Linked DNA regions of Macaca mulatta. The protein of the gene in region 2 purifies or fractionates together with the protein of the main gene of each other region. This does not show direct contact. Links are inferred from orthologs where the notes say so. Each region holds a gene or a part of one and is shown on either strand. Other genes may lie near its edges.

Region 1 (4,586 bases), about 46 Mb from region 2:
ATTAAGTTTAGGACCAAACCATACTCCCTAGAGATTTACTATGTTCAAAACACATTAGCATTTCCAAGAGCCCAGCATTAAAGAAAACTGTTTATTTTTGTAGAATCAGTTTTTCCCACACTTATTCCATCCCAGAACCCACCCACTTTTATTCTACATAGCACTTACTGACATCTTCAGAACTAGCACTTTGTGGCACATACACTCGGGAGGAAACATTCCTCTAGATGAAAAGGAAGGTGAATAGCTAGAAGTTACAGAAGGTAGATTTTTAGCTTGCTAAAAAAGGAAAAAATACTGCCTTTGAACCTTTCTGCCACTGACATCCACCCCCTACAACTTTTACCCTAATCACATACCCCAACGCATTTTAAATATTATTTATATCCAACTTACAGTTCACACAAATCTCAGAAAAAGTACAGGACACCTGTAAGATCAAGATATGATGCCAGGATCAAAGCATTAAGCAGGAATCATCTGGTCAAAAGAAACTCCTGGCACAGTATTTAAGGAAGACTTACTTTACCTTAACAAAACTCATGCTCAGGAACCAAAGCAGCCAAAGACTTAATCGGCTCCTCCAAGTGGACTCAATGTGTTCTAATAATACATAATCTAAAATGGGCTGATGGGTGCAGCTAATCCTCATTATTATGAGCATCATTATTATCATCACTTGCAAGAGCCATGTGACAATATTTACAAGATTCTGGATTCTTTTAAAGTGTATGCATACCCAAGATTCCTTTGGGAGAAAGTAATTTCACATTTATATCAAAAACTGTCACTACCATAGTCAGCTCTAATATTTGATATCACTTGGTAATAAAGGTTTGTCATCATATACTCAAGAGTAATCCTGTTACTCAAATCTTCCTAACTGGGAGTTACGAATACCTCTGACTCTGCTCTTTTAGCTGTCAAGAGCATAAAATGCCCTTCCCGCTCTTTACTCACTTCCAGACTCCAAAGCCACCTCCTCCTCAAAGTCTGGCCCAACTACTGTGGACCACTATTTTTCTCCCAGTTACTGAGTACTGTCAGCACTTTTTGTTCTATCACTCTTTGGGTAATTCACTGTACACTTTCTAGTTTATTTAACTGCACAAAACTTAGTTCTCAACAAGACTATAACTGCCTTATGAACAGGGATCAACACTTAAGAATCTCCAGAATCTCCTACAACATCATGTAAGATTCTTGATTTACAAGAACATCATGTTCCTTGATTTAAGTAACTAGGCTTAAGAGTAACAAATAGCAGCTTGTTTTAAGACAGTTTACTACGTGCCAGATCCAGCGCTAAATGCATACATAATTATCTAAGTTTTCATAACTCTATAGAGGTAAGTGCTATTATTTTCTCCATCAAATAGAAGAAGAAAGTGAGCCTCAGAGTAACTTGCTCAAGGTCATACTGCTAGTAAGTGGCAAAACCAGGGCCTGAATCCAGGAAAGCTCTTAACTACCTCAGAACACTGAAAAGTTCCAACCCTACAATAAGAGTCTATGCATGATTTCGATTTCACTAAGTTAGAAGTTTTAATTTCAATAGAACAGAGATATTTTAGCTAAAAGTTAAAACTTAACTTTAAGAAAAATTAAGACAAATAATTTCCCACACACATCTTTATAATAAAACGAGGGGAAAACCTCCCATGTCCTATTTATGAAAGTAATATAAAGGTGGGGGGGATCACAATTTCATCAAGAAGTGGCTTATGACAATACAGCTTTGGTTCAAATTTTTAAATAGGACTCTTTTTCTCTGCCCCTAGGAGGAACGTGGAAATGAAAGATGGATGTGATAACTGTCAATTCAGAGCTCTGCAAAACGCCAGACTCGTTTTAGAAAATAAGAGCCGGGGCTCTAGTTCCACCCTTGACTCTTCACACAAAGAGTAACAAAAACAAAAACAAAAAAAAAGAAAAGAAAACAAGCAGCACCATCCTCTGCCCTCTTCACACAAAGCAAGCTTTACCCCACTACCCAAAGGGGAGTGCTGATTCACACGGTCTCCCCATCCCTGCCAGACATGGGTCCCAAACACCAACCGTTGCATAGACGTAGACGACTTTGGTCTGCCCCCGACCCCCACACCTGGTGATACCTCATCAAGCAGACCCCTCTCCTACATCCAAAATGCCCAGGGCCACCATCCGAAAGCCAGTATCTTACACAAAGCAGGACCCCGGCCTACAAAGCAGTTTCCCACCTCCGACTCCTCCCCAGGCGAACAGCCCTTCTCAAGCTGCCCCAATCCACAGACCCCAATAGGGTCCAGCACCCAGAAGGTCCACAATCCAAAGGAGAACGAGCTACAACCCTGTTACTTGCGCACGCCTCGAACCCCCAACTCCAGCTGAGGTTCCCTCTGCCAAAGCAAGAAAACCACGAGTCCCCACGGGAGTTTTCTCGACTACACAAAGCGAGGCGCCAGACCAGAGGGACCCTCAGAGGACGCTCTCCGCCCCCGGGTCCGTCCCCGCCCAGCTCCGACCCGGCGCCCCAAGCTCACCAGCTCTCCTCTTCCTCCTCCCAGCCTGACAGGCGCTCCAGCTCGTCGGGCCGCAGCGGCTCCACCTCGTCCAACAAGCCGCCCTCGCCCGCCGCCAGCAAGGAGGTGGCGTCCCGCAGCTCTTCGCTACTCGTCCGCCTCGGGACCGACCCGGCCCCGCCGCCCGACTTGGCGCTGAGGCCCAAGGGGAAGCCCCGAGGAGACGCCGCGCCGGAGGAGGGAATGGACGCGCCGGCCCGAATCGGGCTGCCGGGCCCTAGGGAGCCGGCGCCCTGCACGGCCCCCGAGCGACTCCTCAGCTGTTCGTTCTGTTTCTCCAGCTTCTTCACCAGCTCCTGCAGCTTTCGCACCTCCTGGTCCGCGTTCACGTTGGAGTTAACGTCCTCCATCCCGGCCCCGCCGCCTCCGCCGCCCGCTCGCTCTCGCAGCGACAGGGAAAGAGCCGGAGGAAAGAGGCGTCGCCGCCACTCACTCTAGCCGAGGCGCCGGCATATAGCAGGACCAGGCCCCACCGCCAGGGTCCCCCCACCTCGGGTTCCAAAGCGCCGCTGGCCCCAGCCGAGCTGCCTCATCTGCGCCGGCTCCGGGATTGGGGGAGGCGGCGCCAATATCCGGCCTCTGCCGCCATCTTCCCTCCGTCCCTCCGCCCCCCGCGGGCCGGCCCCGTCGGTGACCTCAGAGCGTCGCGGGTGGACGCGGCCGCCGGCGGGCGCTGAGAGGACCGGGCGCCGGTTCGCGGCGGGGCGGGGCCACTGACGGGGCCTATGGGGCGGGGCCGGTGTTCGAGGGGCGGGGATTAGGCCGGAAGGGGCGTGTCGGCGGACGTGGGACGAGGCCGGGCTGGTTAGGGAGGGTTCCTGCAGGCCGGGAGGCGAGTAGGCGGCTCGCCGCTGGCGGGACTGAGGTGGCTAACACGGACCTCGATCAGCCCCGCCTGTTGGCCTGGGCGTGTGGGGTGTTCTCCACCCCTTACACGGAGTGTGGGACCCGCGGGCCAGTCTCGCGCTTGTTCCGGGCCAGACCTCGAGTGGGCGCTCAGCCCGGCTGTGGAGAGACAGTTTACTTTTTCAGCAAATATTTAATCGATGCCGACTTTTAATTGGAGATTGTCTCGGCTGGCGGGATCGTCTGAGACTGCCTGTGTCCTGTTTCTTCCCCTGAAAATAAACCCCAGTTTCAGACAGTTAAGAGAGGTCTAAGGTCAAAATAATAATCATAATTGCTTGAGTGCTTCCTACTGGCCAGACACTGTGCTAAGCAGTTTTAAAGGCATTATCTCATCCGTTAAAACATAGTTTTCCCGGCTTAAAGTTTGCAGCACACAGGGGCGGAAGCAAGGGATAGTAAACCGCTTCTCTACCCCCTTTCTCCGTTTATTGACTCACATTCTGCTCCTTGGATCATTTTCTTCGGAAAAAGTTCCTCATAGTGTGTCTTGATTTTTTTTTAAAGTTGTGTGTTAAAAGTACTTAAACACGCTGACAGATAGTGAAGAATGCAGAAAATTGTATGAATGTGAAGTCCGCCTTTAGAATGTGGCAGCAAACCCAAACAAAACTTAAATGCTTTATTTTGATCACATTCATTGGTCTTCAGATGTCAATTGTGAACTGCTTTGGCTTGTGTTTGCAGCTTTTCTTCAGTTGCCGCCTCCACCCTTAGTTTAATAACAATGATCCAGTCCTGTTACACCTGAGTGTGGACTCATTGCCATGACTGGCTTGCTTCTATCCTTTAGCTTTTCTAGTACCATATTCTCCGCCTGCCATATCTGATTCCCTTTCTTAAATCCCATACTCACTCATTCAGGAAACCTCTTCCTGACAATTCCACAAAGATCTAATTATTCTGCGTATTCTAGCACTACCTGATCAGTAGTTCTCAATAGGTGTTTGCACTTTTTAAAAAATTGATTTTCTAAGAATTATTTTTCGTTTGTTTTTGTCTTTACTTGCTTTAAGGAGACGTTCATTTTTGCTTACCATGTCTAGTACACTGACACAGTGGACACTCAATACTTGGTGTGTTGTAAGTTAAGTAGACTGTAAGTTCTACTTAAAACCA
Region 2 (4,596 bases):
GATACAGAAACCCACCCAGTAGGCCTCGAAAGCGGCCTGGTCAGGGCCCTAGCCCCACTCAGCCCCATCCATTTCCCAAGTGGGCCCCCAGCCTGAGGCAGGCCTGGGCGTCTCCACCCCACACCTGCCTCCAGCTCCCCCGGGCCCGGGCAGCTGCATGCTCACACCGGGATGTGGAGGGTCACCCCTCTTGTTTCCCCAGAGCGGCAGACCTGGCCAGCCACTGGCCATTTGTCCTCCCAGAGCTGCGTCTGCCCCTGTGTCCTCCAGAGGTCCCCCCTTGAAATCCCTTTCCAACCACTGCACCCCCCATCTCCCACCTGTCTGTCATCCAACTGGCTGAGACGGGGACCTTCCAGAGCCCCAGTTACCACCTGGGGCCCAGCCCAACACCCCCCGGACAACTCTGAGGGTCCCACCTGCACAGAGGCCCTCCTCAGCCTCTGCCTCTGTGGCGCCCCCAAACTGGAACTGCCTCCAAATCCGCCCGTTCTCCCCACACCCACCTTCCAAGGCCTAGAGCAATGCCACCCTCCACACAGTCCCTCCGACCCCTTCTGTTGGACTCAATCAACAGTTGCCTTCTCCTGGCCACTGCCCGCAACCACGACAAGCAAAGGCTGCTTGGCCTTGGAACCCCCAGGCATGTGACGGTTCAGGACATGGTGAGCCGGGGCATCCCCTGCCCAAGGTTCTGTACTTGGGTTCCCGTCACCTGCAAGCCAGCGCCGGCGGCGCCCCTAAGCGCGCTCAGCCCACGCCGCGGTCCCTCTGGATGAGGACCGGCGCCTCTCCCCAGCTGCGCCCAGGCGCTTTCGGGGCCTCGGCGAGCTGGCGGAGGCCTCCTCCTGACCTCCCAGCAAGCCCTGCGCAGGAGAGGACGCGGCTGGCCGGCCGGAGCAGCCTCACCGAGCGGCAGCAGCGAGTGGCACAACAGCGTGGCGGCCGTGCGGCGCAAGTGGAAGGGCACGAAGGCGGCGTCCTCGCTGCCCAGCCAGCCCGACAGCAGGTTCTGCACCGTGAGCCCCGCCGCGTGGAACTCGTTAGGCGTGAACACAAAGCACACGGCGAACACCAGATAGGCGAGAGTGAAGGTCACCTCGGGGCTGTCCATCGCGCCGCCGCCGGGAAGCTGTCCGGCGAGGACCCCGCCCCCGGCGCGGGGAAGAGGCCGCAGCGCCCAGACCCCGACGTGTCGGTTGCGGCAGCCGCCACCCGGCCGCCCGCGGGGCACTCTAGGAGATGGAGTCCCGCCGCCCGGCCGCCCGCGGGGCGCTCTGGGAGATGCAGTCCCCGTGAGGGTGCGGCCTCTCTTCAGGGCCCGCCCTGGAGGCGGCACTGCACCTGGTCTCAATGCACAGCTGGGGAAACTTAGGCCTGAGCCAGCGGCTCTCAGTCCCTGGCCACGAAGCCCCGCCCAGTAGCGTCAGCTGCAGAACCCGAAATTCGTGCGGCGACGGCGAGCCGGCGGTCTCAGCTTCAGACACCCCCGGCAGGCCCTCCACTCCGGAAACGGAACCGTCGGCGCACGGGGGGGCGGGGCCGGCGAGACACAGCTTCCCATTGGACCCCCACCCTCCTACGGTCCCGCCCCCGGCCGCGTGCTGATTGGCCGCGCGAAGGCAACCGTCGGCGTTTGAAACTCGGGCGCGCCGGCGGCCATCAAGGGCTGGAAGCGCGGCAGCGGCAGCAACTAGGCTCGCCCCCGGCGCGGAGCAGACGCATATCCAGACCCCTCCTTCCTGGCGGCGGCGGCGCGGGCTCAGAGCCCGGCAACGGGCGGGCAGGCAGGTAGACGAGCGTCTACACGGCACGGGGAGGCTGGGGTCCCGGGGGCGCGAGGCCGTCCCGCCCCGCCCTCGGCCCTCGCCTTCCCGCCCTGGCCGCAGCTTTCCCCGGGAAGCGTCCCCCACGGCTTCTTCCCGGGCCGCCGGGGCCCGTCCCGCGCCCTGTCATGGGACCCGGCCCTAGACCGACCACCGGGCTGGATCCCCTGGGCGGTGGCCGGGGGCGGCTAGGGCTGGGCCGAGCCCGACGGCGGAGCGGGCGCCCTGAAGTGCTTTGTTCTCTTCGACCCTCTCCTGCCTCTCGGCCGCCCACCCTGGTTCTTTGTTGGCTCCCAGCTCGCAGACCCTCTTGTGGTTCTTTGGTCCCTTCCGGCCTCCGTCCTGGTGCCAACTCCATCTGGGCCACCTGTGGCGGACACCTGGGCCCCGACCGCTTCCCCGCACCTGCTGCGCCGCTCCATCTTCCCCCGCGCCGCATCCCACTTGTGCACCAGAGTAGCATCAAAGCACCGGCCTGGGGCCGGTCCCTTCCCTGCCCAGAGCCCCTCCCGGGGCTCCATAGTCGGTAAAGGCCCCTCCTGACCAAGGCTGGGTCTGCTGCTCTCCCGCACTCCTCCAGGCCGCCGGAAGGCTTCCTCCGAGTCACTTTCTCCCTGAGTTCCAGGCTTGCGTGTCCCCCAGTGATCCAGCTGCCCTTCCCCTGCCCTGTACCCAGTTATTCAGGCCAAAAACCTAAGCGTCGTCTGTAAGTCCCATATATGCCAGTGGCCAGGCCCGGGTCTGGTCTGGCCTCTACTCCTCGGGCTGCAGAAGCGTGTGGTTTCCCTGCTTCCCTCCTGCCCTTACTTCCCTACCCACACACAGCACCACAGTGGGCTTCTCAAGCTGCAGCACCGACCTGCCCGGGCTGCCCCTCTCTCTTCTCCAGGACCCTCCCCAACTTTGCTCTTTTTCAAATCAAAGCCTTCCCAGGTCCCCCACCACCAACAGGTGCCCGTGGGGTTCCTGCCCAGGTCGACACTCGGTTCTCTCTGGCAGCCTTTCTGCCTACGTCATTCCCTAGACTGGGAACGCTGTAGACAGAAAGGGTGGCAAGTGTGTGGGTGACTGGTGTGAGGACCTGGGCGGCCCTGGAACCTGGGACTGACTGGAGGCCCTGATATGGAAGCTCCTTGGCACCTGCTGCTCAGCTCTGGGCGTCCCTTGTTCGCCTACTGTCTCCCAGCTCCTCCTCTGGGCCTTCACCCCAGCCTGGTCTTGTCCCGCTGCCTAGCCCGGTGGGAGAAAGCAGACCAGAGCCGCTGTCCTGCTTTTCTGCCCTCTGCTGCCCGGTCCTGCCTCACGCCACACGCGGAGGCCGGTGGGGAGACCGCGGCTTCCTCTGGCTCTTCTGGGTTTCTTATAGGCCAGGGCTTTCCTGTCTCCTGACTTCTGCCTGACGTGGTAATACAACAGTAGAGATTATGCGGTCTTGGTTTTTCTTTCTCACCATCTTAGCCTGAAGGCCCTTTAGCTCTTGGTCCCAGGAGGCAGCGGTGCTGCCCATGGCTCCCGGTGCCAGGCTGGAGAGTGAGTCTCTGAAGCAGGATGGGGACTCAATCGGAGGCTTTCTCTGCCCCACTTGGCAGAGGACATGTGTGGGAGGTGTGAGCTCCAGAACAATGAGCACACCTGTGCCGGAAGGGGTCGTGCTCCCTGCGGCAGCTGTCATGTCTGTGTCTGGACAACATGGTTGTGTTGCCCTCACACTGACACAAACATGTTCTGCTTTTCCAGAATGAGTCTGCAGGTCTTAAACGACAAAAATGTCAGCAGTGAAAAAAGTACAGAAAATTGCGACTTCCTGTTTTCCTCACCAGAAGTTACCGGAAGATCGTCTGTTCTTCGTGTGTCACAGAAAGAAAATGTGCCACCCAAGAACGTGGCCAAAGCTATGAAGGTAAGTGTGACCTCTACAGTGTGTGGCTAGCCAGGTTGCCCTAGGACCTGCTTTCCTGGTGACCTCTGAGCTGCAGGACACTGCTGGTGTGGCTGTAACAGCTTGAACTAATGAATGGGTGCTCTCCTCCTCACTCCACAACAGGTGACTTTTCAGACACCTCTGCGGGATCCACAGACGCACAGGATTCTAAGTCCTAGCATGGCCAGCAAACTTGAGGCTCCTTTGGCTCAGGGTGATACCCTTGGACTGGAAAACTGTCACCCGGTGTGGACTCAGAAAGAGAAGTAAGTGTTCATGCTACTGGACATGCTGGAGCTTCACCCTCTCTGTCCGATGGCTCTTGCAGAAACGTGCTGTCCTGTTCTGTCAGGCCTTGGCTGGAATTTTTTTTTTTTTTTTTTTTTGAGATGGAGTCTTGCTCTGTTGCCCAGGCTGGAGTGCAGTGGCACTATGTCCACTTACTGTAAACTCTACCCACCCCAGGTTCATGCCATTCTCCTGCCTCAGGCTCCCCGAGTAGCTGGGACTACAGGCACCCGCCACCACGCCCGGCTAATTTTTTTGTATTTTTTAGTAGAGACGGGGTTTCACCGTGTTAGCCAGGATGGTCTCGATCGCCTGACCTTGCGATCCACCCGCCTCAGCCTCCCAAAGTGCTGGGATTACAGGCGTGAGCCACCGCGCCCGGCCGGCCTGGCTGGATTTCTCCTGAAATCTGCACTGAGTGTATGCAGCATGTGGCCAGTTCACTAACAGAAAAGTCGACCATCAGATACTTGGATAACTTAATACTTCACTCCCCCCCACCAGTTCACTAACAGAAAAGTCGACCATCAGATACTTGGATAACTTAATACTTCACTCCCC
Region 3 (4,727 bases), on a different chromosome or scaffold from region 2:
CTAGATAAGTTTGTTGAGCTGCTGAGCCGGGCCTGGCTGGGGTGAGTGAGGTCTGGAAATTGATTAAGTCAACTGGGTGCAGTGGCTCACGCCTGTAATCCTAGCACTTTGGGAGACTGAGGAAGGTGGATCACCTGAGGTCATAAGTTCGAGACCAGCCTGGCCAACATGGTGAAATCACATCTCTACTAAAAATATAAAAATTAGCTGGGCTTGGTGGCCCGTGCCTGTAATCCCAGCTACTTAGGAGGCTGAGGCAGGAGAATTGCTTGGACCCAGGAGGGGGAGATTGCAGTGAGCCGAGATCGTGCCAGTGCCCTCCAGCCTGGGCGACAGAGGGAGACTGTATCTCAAAAAAAAAAAAAAAAGAAAGAAAAAAGAAATTAAGTCTACCCCTTCTCCCAGACAACTCAGCCTCAGGAGACACACTGAGAAACAATGATAACCTCTGAGGATCAGGGTTCAAGATCTCCCAGAGTGGGGTGGAGAAGGGGAGGGTAATTAATGTCAGAGCTTGGCCTGTAAGGAGGAAGTGCTCTCCAGGTAAAGGAGGTCAGGAAAACATCCGGACATGGGACTCGGCTTGGAAATACGCTGGAAAAGTGGATTCTCTCACCTAGTCAGCTGGCCCTGAGAATTGTTGGTTTTACACTCAGATCTTGGTGGCTTTCCGGGTTCTGGGGGCTCAGGCAAGAGGGTCATAGGCCAGATTCATTCCCTGTCTCCAGGCCTCAGTTTACCCATGTGTAAACGTGAAACTGATTTCCCAGGGCCTCACCCGGGCCCTCACCCGGGCCAGGTGGCGCTCTACCCAAGGGGCGCGACCACATCAGTGACGTCACTCGGGGCGTGGCCGGCAAGACACGCTGCGGAAGCCTCGGAGGGTGTCTGGGCTCAGCCTGGAGCCGGCGTGTGGGGGCGGGGGCTCCGGGGAGGGTCTCCTCACCTCCGGGCCCTCCTGAGGGCTGGGATGATCCTGCTGTCCTCCGCAGGCGAAACTGAGTCAGAGCGGGGCGTACGTGGGTCGGAGGCTTTACATACCCAAGAAGCCGGCGCCTCCTGCCCACCTCGGGCGAATGCCAGGCCCCCAACTCCGGCACTCCTCGCCAGTCCCCACCTCCACCCCCACCCCACCCCCGACCCTGCGGCTGTGAGTCAGCGGCCGACCGCGCCCCCTTGGCCCACTTCCTCCTCACCTTCCCGGGGCGGGCGGGGTGGGGTGAGAGGGGTGGGGCCCTACTCCCCCCCACCTCCCCTCCCGCGCGGGTGGGGGGCTCGCCCCCTTAGTAACCCCTCCGAAATTGACAGAAGAGAGACGCTGGGGAGGGGCGGGGTTCCGAAGATGGAATTTCAGGGAGAAAATCTGAGACCACTTGCTTAACTAACTGGAGGGTCCTCTTCGACCCCCAAAATTGAGCGGAGTACGAGATGGAGAAGTCGATGGGGAAAGAAATCGTGCCCCTTCCGAGACGCTCCTGAGAATTCCCACAGTGGAAGCGAACTAGGGAGCAAGGGAGGTCGCCTTCCCCTTCACCAAGCTTGCCCCTCCATGTGGTGGTGACTCCCAGGGTGCACCCCTGGACGATAACGTTGGGGAGAGCAGCAAGATCGCGGAAGCAGAGGGTGCCGAGTTGCCCTTTTAAGCGCCCTCCACCCCCTCGCCTGGAGGCGCGCGCGGCCCCTTTAAGGCGCGGGGCATTGTGGGTGCGGGGAGTGGAATTTTGGAACGAAATGTAACGAAGAGAAGTACAGTAGTAAGAGTAACAGTGTAGCCGCCGCCGGCAAGGGGGGCGCGTCGGGGAGCAGACGCCGCATCCCCTTTCTGCCGCAGGGACCTCTCATCAGATCGCCTGAGGGAAGCGGCGCCCGGAGACCCGCCCCGGCCCGGTCCACGTTCTACCCAGGAAGCCGGACTCTATGGGGCGGGACCCTGGGGGAGCCTGAGTCGAGCCCGGAGCCAGCCCCGAACCCCTGAACCTCCAGCCAGGGGCGCCCCGGGAGCAGCCAGTCCGTGGGCGCGCCGCCCGCCCGCAGATCAGCCATGAGGTGAGCCGGACCTGCCCCCCGACCCGTCCCCGCCCGGGCGGGCTCCGCGCCCCGCCTTTGTCCCCCTCCCCCCAAGCTCGCTCCGGGCTGGAATTTGGGGACAGATCCTTGGGAGCCTCGGATTTGGGCTGAATCCCCTAGGACAAGCCCCAAAACCGTCGATCACTTCTCCACGACTGACTTCCCAAGCTCGGGGGGTGGTGGCGGTGAGGTTCCCCTGGGAGCCCTCAAGATTTGGGGACGCTCGGAGGACTCCCGAATTGTTAAGACTTTTTTTCAGAGGACCTCAAAGTTGGCAGCGACTCCCCGCAGGGATGCCAGGATTGAGGCAGGGCTCAGACTTTCCTCCCCCTCCCCCCAAACTTCAGCTCGAGGTCGGGGAAGGATTGTGGGGGACTGGTTTGGGAGACCCTGGGACTTGGAAGAGAGACTGAGACTCAGACCCTTGGTGTGCAGGGACCCCGTTTACGTGGTGCTGGAAAAAGTCTCCCCAAGTGAGACCGCGCTCCTGAACTTCGGGGGTACTTCTTAATCCCCTAAATTTTGGGGGGCACTTAGGTCTTCCTGTGGAAGAGGCTGGTATGAACCGATCCAGGGACCCGGACGCAGCCTCCGGAGTCTGGTGGGATTCCCCTCCCCCGTCGCTCCGCACGCAATCTGCTTAACAGGCAGTGCCTAGGACAGAGCGGGCGCTCGGAGCAGAGGGCGGCTCCCTGCCCCGGGCCATAAGGGCGGCCCGGCTCCCCCACCTGCGCGGCCCTGGGGAGGGAGGGGACGCAGCAGCTGGGGGAAGGGGGCCTTTGTCTTCCTGACTCACCTGTCGAGACAGCTGGTGTGGGGGGCGGGCACCGAGCGCTGTGGGCCGGCTGCCTTCCCCACCACGGCGCCTCCCCCTTTGCTCGCCGCCCCCCCCATCCATCCGGAGCCTTGGGGTTGGAGGAAGGGGAGCTGGAAAGCTTCAAGGTCATAGCCCTCTTCCCTAGGGACCCAGGCTTCCCAGATAATTCCAGCTATCTTCCCAGGAATTTAATCCTGGGGGCGGCGGCCCAAGGGACCCAGGGATTTGGTCTGGCCGGGGCCTCCCCCGAACTCCTGGACTCACCTGAGGGCGGGGCCAGTGTGGGCAGGGGGACCCAACCATCCTCCCATTCTCCCCTCCCCTGGCCCCCCATAATCTCTCCCATGGGGCCAGAGCCTGACAATACTATCTCCCTTCCTCCACTCTCTCTGGGACTTCCTGCCCCAAAGCCCCCAGCCTTAGCAGGGAGGCCCCTGGGGACGGCTGGGGATTAACCCCGTGGTGCCCACATCCCCTGCATTTCCTGAACCCCTGCCCTTTGACATCGGAGTGGAGTGGCGTTCCTTTTTATGACCACTAGAGAATTCCCCTCCCGCGTTTGTTCCTTCTGATGTGAAAGGCATGGCTGGAAAATTTGGAGCAAGGAGGACACCCACAGATACCCTCAAGACTTCCTGCCTATCCTATCCGCTCCCCATTATAGCAACATCCCTTCCAAGTCCGCCCTGGAGAGGGGTCAGTTTAGGGAGCGTCGCTCTCTTCCTTCGCCCTCTTCCTCCGGGACTCTTCTCTCCCCTTGCCCCCCAGCCCCGCCCCTCCACCCCCCTCGCGTTTCCGGTCCCAGGCTCAGTGGAAGGCGGATGGCGGATGTCCGAGTTAGTGCTGCCTCACTCACTGCAACCGTAAAAGGGCAGGAGTGGTGTCTGGGCCGGCCCCCTGCCCTCCCCACCACCACCACCACCACCACCAGCAGCCCTGGAAGCCCTGGCCCTCCCACAGGGCCCACCTCTTGCTGGGGCGGTGATCAAGCATCCCACCTTGTGGGGGTGCTGGGGTGGGGTGCAGTGCAGAAGTGACCAGATGCCTGTCCCACCAGAAGGCCACTCCCACCTTTCCAGGGGTCTCCCCTGCAGGTGGTCACACCCGACTTACTGGGCTGTGCCTCTTCTCCAAGGACAGCCAGGATTCAAAACCCATGCCCCTATTACCCAGCTGGGGAAACTGAGGCTCAAAGAGAAAAAGACATGGCCAAGATCCCTCAGAAATTCCTAGGCAATGTTGGAGGGGTGGAGGAACCTAGGATCCTCTGATTTCTGGCTGGTTTGGCTGGGGGACAGTCCTGGGGGCAGTTGGAAGAGAGGATGTTAAGATGGAAAATTACAAGATATAGTTCTTTTTCTCCCAATTTGACAAATATTTGTTGAGTGTCGGCTGTGTCCCGGACTGGAGCTGGGGTGCTGGGAAGACAGAGAAGCGAGGCAGAGGTCTAGAATCTCAGGGCAGAAGGGACTTGGGGAGAATTGGGGTCTATTTCTTTCTTCCAATAATAGCTATTTTTATTTTTTTTTAAATAAGAGACCATTTGATCAAGCATCTATTTTATGTGGGGCATTTTTGTGCCTGACAGCAATTCTGGGTTGTTTTTTTTTTTTTTTTTTTGCTCTTGTTGCCCAGGCTGGAGTGAAATGGCGCGATCTTGGCTCACTGCAACCTCCGCCTCCTGGGTTGAAGCAATTCTCCTGCCTCAACCTTCCGAGTAGCTGGGACTACAGGTGCCTGCCACCATGTCCGGCTAATTTTTGTATTTTTAGTAGAGATGGGGTTTCACCATAATGGCCAGGCTGGTCTCTAACTCTTGACTTCAGGTGATCCACCCACCTCA
Region 4 (4,866 bases), on a different chromosome or scaffold from region 2:
AATAACTCGGTATTTAGCTCTGAAACCAGGAAGCTTTTTTTATTTTTTATTTTTGAGATGGAGTCTTGCTCTGTCACCTAGGCTGCAGTGCAGTGGTATGATCTGAGCTCACTACAACCTCCTTTTCCCGGGTTCAAGTGATTCTCTTGACTCAGCCTCCCCAGTAGCTGGGATTACAGGCGTGCACCACCACACTCGGCTATTTCTTTTTTTTTTTTTTTTTGTATTTTTAGTAGAGACAGGGTCTTGCCATGTTGGCCAGGGTGGTCTGGAACTCCTGACTTCAGATGATTCACCCGCCTCAGCCTCCCAAAGTGCTGGGATTACAGGTGTGAGCCACCGCACCCGACTGAAACCAGGAAGCTTTTTTATGGTTAAAAATGGGCTACACAGTTCTATTACAGGCAAGTCAGGCATTGACCGTGGATCACTATAACTTGTCTTTTCATTTGGAAGTGTACATTATCCCAACCTTTATAACTATCTTTTGAATGGTACCTGCATCTTAAAACAAAACACCGAAACTTTTGAACGGATTCCTGGAGTCATGGCAGGTCCTCCATTTTGGATGAGATCCTTCAGCAACAGGATCCCTGTAGCAACAATCCTTTCTCATCCTCATCTTTTATACAGAAAGTACATCCCTGTCTTCGGGACTAAAAGGGGGCTGTAATTCGTACAGTTAAATTTTTTATTATTGGATTTGTTTTTAGATTAAAAAAAAAAACCAAAAAAACCTCAACAACAACTATCAATTCTGGCTTCCTGGATGCCCTCCTCCCCGACTTGACTTGAAATTGCCTTGCCAGTATTTTATATCTACTTTTTAAGGGAGGTGACTTCAAGACCATTGGGAATGACGGAAGATTTAAAATTATCATTAGTTCCTCTTTCTCCCCGCCCCTGCCCGGGATTCCCTCTGCTAATGACGCTGGAAAGCGGTTCCACTGGCTGCGTTTCTCTTCTTCCACTCTTACGGCAACACACGGTTCCGCGCGCGTCTCCGGCGACTGCGTTTCCCCCAGAGTCGGCTGCGTTCGTTTGGGGATGAAGTCATCCCTATACCTAGTGTGCACATCAGCTTGTTCCATCGGCGCAGCACGCTGGGATTCCTCGGGAAGGAGCGAAGGGAACAATGATGACCATATTTTCCATTTATATGCCCCTCCTCAACTCCGCAGGAATCGCTGGGCGCGGCCGCGGCGGGGTCGGGCGGTTGGGCTGACCGGGATGCCCCCCGATTCCCTCGTCCCAGTCCTGAGACCGCAACAGGGCGGGCTGAGCACTCGCCCCGCGCGAGGCACTCGGCCGCGAGCCGACCCGGAGTATCCTGGCCCGGCCCTGTACCCAGTCAGTCACGCGTCCCAGCTCCCCACGCCGGTGCCTGCGGGTCCGGCGCCTAGGAGGTCTCGGCGCCTAGGTCTCCGCACCGCGGCCGTGGGGGAGGCCCCGGAGTTCCCCAAGCCTCTGGGGAGCGGGAGGCGACGGGGAGGGGGCCGACAGTCAAGGACAACTCCGGGCAAGGAACCCCCCGGCGAGGAACCCCGGCCGACAGCGGACGGGACGTTTTGGGTGGGGGTGGGGGGGGGCCGGCCCGAATCCCAGGAGGTTGCAGGGGGCGGGGTAGGGAGGCAACAAAGAGCCTCTCTTCGTCGTCGCCGCCGCCGCCGCGCTCGCTCCCGCCCAGTCAGCTCTCCGCAGTCCGGCGGGGGCCCGGCCGCCGGCGCGGGGGAGCGCGCCCGGCCCCCCGCCTCCCCTTTCCTCCCCTCTCCTCCCCTCCCCCCGCACCGCCCCCTCGCCCCCGGGGGAAGGAGGCGAGGAGGGCGGCGCCTGCGTGTTCCTCCGCCGCGCGCCCCGCCTCCTCCCGGGCTCCTCGCGGCGATCCCGACTCTCCTCCCGCGGCTGCAGCAGCTGCCGGTTGCACACGGCCTCGGCGGCGGCGCGGCGGGCGCGGGCCTGTGGAGCGGCGGCCGGGCGCGCGGCCCCGGCGGGCACCCCTCCGAGGGCGGCCGAGGAAGCTCCGGGAGGAGGAGCAGGACCACGAGGAGGTGGGAGGCGGCGGCCGCCTGGGGACCCGCTCCGCGCCTCGTCCTCTCCGCCCCCTCCCCAGCCTTTCTCTCACCCTCTTCTCCCACACTCCGGGCCGGCGCCTCGGCATTGTGCGAGGAGATGGTGTAGCCCCCTGGCCGCCGAAGGAGGAGCCGAACACTTGTCTCCAGTCTCCGAGCTGCTCCCCACCCCTGGAGGAGAGACCCCCTCGGCTCGGCGCCTTCCGCGTCTCCCAGCTGGTGGGGAAGCCTCTACGCCGCCGGCACCATGAGGTGAGGGGCGCGCGGGGCGGGGGCCGGGCGGGCCATTGTGCCGCGGGAGCCGCGACCCTCGTTCTCCTTGGACCCCGCCTTCCCTCTGCTGGCCCGGCGCGTCTCCCAGGTCTCCGGTCTGTTTCTCCCCCCTCCCCCTTTTGTCCCTTCCAATTTCTCTTTCTTTCTTGGAAACCTCCCCAACCCCTGTGGTTTGGGGGTCTCCTTTCATCGTTCTCTCATTTTTCCTCAAATGCTCTTCTTTCACCCAGGATTTCCCTTCCTAAATTTAATTTGCGCCTGGCTCCCTCCCCCCAGCCTTTGCAAGCGAAACCCGGGAGATGGGGAGGGGTTCGAGAATCGAAGCGTGCATGTTGCTGGGAAACAGGTATTTTTTCGTATATATGTAAAAATTTCATGCACTTTTGCCTCCGAACTCTCGTGTTTAATTATAAAAGGAGGAAAAGTTTGAAAGGTCTGAAATCTCTGCGGGTAATAAAGTGCCTCTGGTAGGGGTGGGTAAAGGAGCTGTAAAAGGTGAAATTTCACGATGGTGGGGGAAGGGAAAGAATTGATTAGGTTCACGTGGTGGGGGCAGTAAAAGACTGGGATAAGTTGGTAGGGGTGTGTAAGCGGGGGCGGGGAACGGATTTGTTTGGAAAAGCCTTTTCTCCCCTTCCTCTGTAGCAGCCTGTGTTGCATTGCAGCAGCTGCTTTTGCCCTTTGCTCTGTAATCAGTAAAACAGGAGCTAAATTATTTTTGCGGCCCCGAAGAAGAGAATTGAATGTACTGTCGTAAAATATTTTTTTAATTGATACGTTGAAACATATGGTGTGATATTTTTCTTTATTGTTTCTCAAATTGTGTAGGAGAATAAACCATGATGTGGTGTGTCATTCATTGGAGATTTTTTTCTTCCAGCCTTTCCTAAGCCTGTTTTGTGTCCATAACCTTCTCTTTTCGGATTGGTGCAAGACTTCGTGAGAAATGGGACTTGGTAGACTGAAGGCTGATCCATTCTGCGTTATCATCCTTAAAGGCCTTCCTTTTGGGTTAAACAATTGTGGATAAAGTAAATTACTCCATTTCTCTCTCCTGGAAGAGATAGTCTTACAGTTCATTTGGATTTGAATCTCCTTTGTGTTAAAGATTAATGGTCAACCGTTGCCAAGACCTTTATAATGTAATACAATGAGATTTGAATGATATAATCGACAAATTCCTTCGCTTTGGCAAGAAAATGTCATGTCATTGGAATTCTTTCTCAATTTCGGTGGTTTCCATTTTAAACTTTGCTTTTCATTTTTTTTCTATCAAGGTTGAGCGTGTTTCCATTTGGCTTTTGTATGTATATATTTTGTGATATATCTGTGTTGAATTTTCACTTTCGCTTACTGTGAATTTGAATTTTTTTCTCTGATTCCAAGTTACCTGTATTTATGATGGCCTTAAAGAGTGAGTTTAATGTTGTGTCTCTAGGTGACTGACCCCTTTTCCCTTGATGATTTCGCACAAGTTATTTTCAAATATAAGCGATCAGTTTAAATAGTAGTTATAGCATACAAACCAAAAAACAGTCTTTGTAAAATATGGCTTGAAAACTTTCAGTCATATGTTTGAGCATGACTTTTTTTACTGATGTCCTTGAAAACTCAGGAACTATAATATACATATTGTTGTATCTTGTAATATTATATGTTGTTGGTTTCTGTTTTAGAGATCTAATGCCGTAGGGATCTTACAGACCAGAAGTTATCAGTTGTTTCAAACTTTGGGTAAACTTAGCTTAACATTGAGAAATATAAAACAGTGAAAGTTTTTTTTTTTTTTTTTTTTTTTAAAGATACAGTCTTGCTCTGTCGCCCATGGAGTGCAGTGGTGCGATCTTGGCTCACTGCAACCTCCGCCTCCGGGTTCAAGCGATTCTCCTGCCTCAGCCTCCCAAGTAGCTGGGATTACAGGCGCGTGTCACCATGCCCGGCTGATTTTTTGTATTTTTAGTAGAGACAGGGTTTCACCTTGTTAGCCAGGATGGTCTCCATCTCTGGACCTTGTGATCCACCCGCTTCGGCCTCCCAAAGTGCTGGGATTACAGGCGTGAGCCACCGTGCCTGGCCAAAAGTGGGTTATTTTTAAATAAAAACAGGTATAGTTGTGTAATTCAAAGATTGTGAACTAAAAAAAGTTGCCGTTTTGGGTATTCAGTAAAGTTTAATCACTGTCATGTATAGATGTCAGTCTGTCACAGGTAAATTATGTCTTCACTTGAAAATTCCTTTTCTAATAAAAAGTAACTTCTGTTTTTTAAGCTCTTTTCTTGCTCTGTTCCTTGTGAAGTGTAGAGAGAGAGGAACCACACTGATGTTTTCCAGTAACGTAAATATAGAACTTGGTACACAGGTCTGAAAAGTTTATTTAAGCAGTCTACCGTAATTCTTTATACACTAATTTTGAGTAAGAGCAGGAAAGAGGGTCAGCTTTTCACTTTGGAAGGAACTGGATTATTTGGTAGGTGGTTAGGTAGTGCTTAGAATGCTTAGATACCTGTAAAAGTGAGATTGGTAT

What was found. The genes of interacting proteins can lie anywhere in the genome.
Region 1: the proteins of TACC3 (region 2) and SLAIN2 purify together in Homo sapiens (co-immunoprecipitation; 3 studies listed by BioGRID and IntAct, counting the BioPlex papers as one, with this or other methods). This does not show direct contact. The link is inferred for Macaca mulatta from reciprocal best matches to the Homo sapiens genes TACC3 and SLAIN2.
Region 3: the proteins of TACC3 (region 2) and VASP purify together in Homo sapiens (co-immunoprecipitation; 3 studies listed by BioGRID and IntAct, with this or other methods). This does not show direct contact. The link is inferred for Macaca mulatta from reciprocal best matches to the Homo sapiens genes TACC3 and VASP.
Region 4: the proteins of TACC3 (region 2) and ENAH purify together in Homo sapiens (co-immunoprecipitation; 3 studies listed by BioGRID and IntAct, with this or other methods). This does not show direct contact. The link is inferred for Macaca mulatta from reciprocal best matches to the Homo sapiens genes TACC3 and ENAH.

Annotation. Positions count from the first base shown.
Region 1 is NC_133410.1:47,847,400-47,851,985, reverse strand, and holds the start of SLAIN2 (SLAIN motif-containing protein 2), read right to left. Parts: upstream 2,980-4,586; 5' UTR 2,912-2,979; coding exon 2,523-2,911; intron 1-2,522.
Region 2 is NC_133410.1:1,837,302-1,841,897, forward strand, and holds the start of TACC3 (transforming acidic coiled-coil-containing protein 3), read left to right. Parts: upstream 1-1,438; 5' UTR 1,439-1,791; intron 1,792-3,563; 5' UTR 3,564-3,564; coding exon 3,565-3,726; intron 3,727-3,870; coding exon 3,871-4,013; intron 4,014-4,596. Other genes in the region: TMEM129 (E3 ubiquitin-protein ligase TM129), read right to left, coding at 910-1,114. UniProt on the Homo sapiens protein: Plays a role in the microtubule-dependent coupling of the nucleus and the centrosome. Involved in the processes that regulate centrosome-mediated interkinetic nuclear migration (INM) of neural progenitors.
Region 3 is NC_133424.1:58,036,264-58,040,990, forward strand, and holds the start of VASP (vasodilator-stimulated phosphoprotein), read left to right. Parts: upstream 1-1,748; 5' UTR 1,749-2,041; coding exon 2,042-2,046; intron 2,047-4,727. UniProt on the Homo sapiens protein: Ena/VASP proteins are actin-associated proteins involved in a range of processes dependent on cytoskeleton remodeling and cell polarity such as axon guidance, lamellipodial and filopodial dynamics, platelet activation and cell migration.
Region 4 is NC_133406.1:83,382,081-83,386,946, reverse strand, and holds the start of ENAH (protein enabled homolog), read left to right. Parts: upstream 1-1,887; 5' UTR 1,888-2,316; coding exon 2,317-2,321; intron 2,322-4,866. UniProt on the Homo sapiens protein: Ena/VASP proteins are actin-associated proteins involved in a range of processes dependent on cytoskeleton remodeling and cell polarity such as axon guidance and lamellipodial and filopodial dynamics in migrating cells.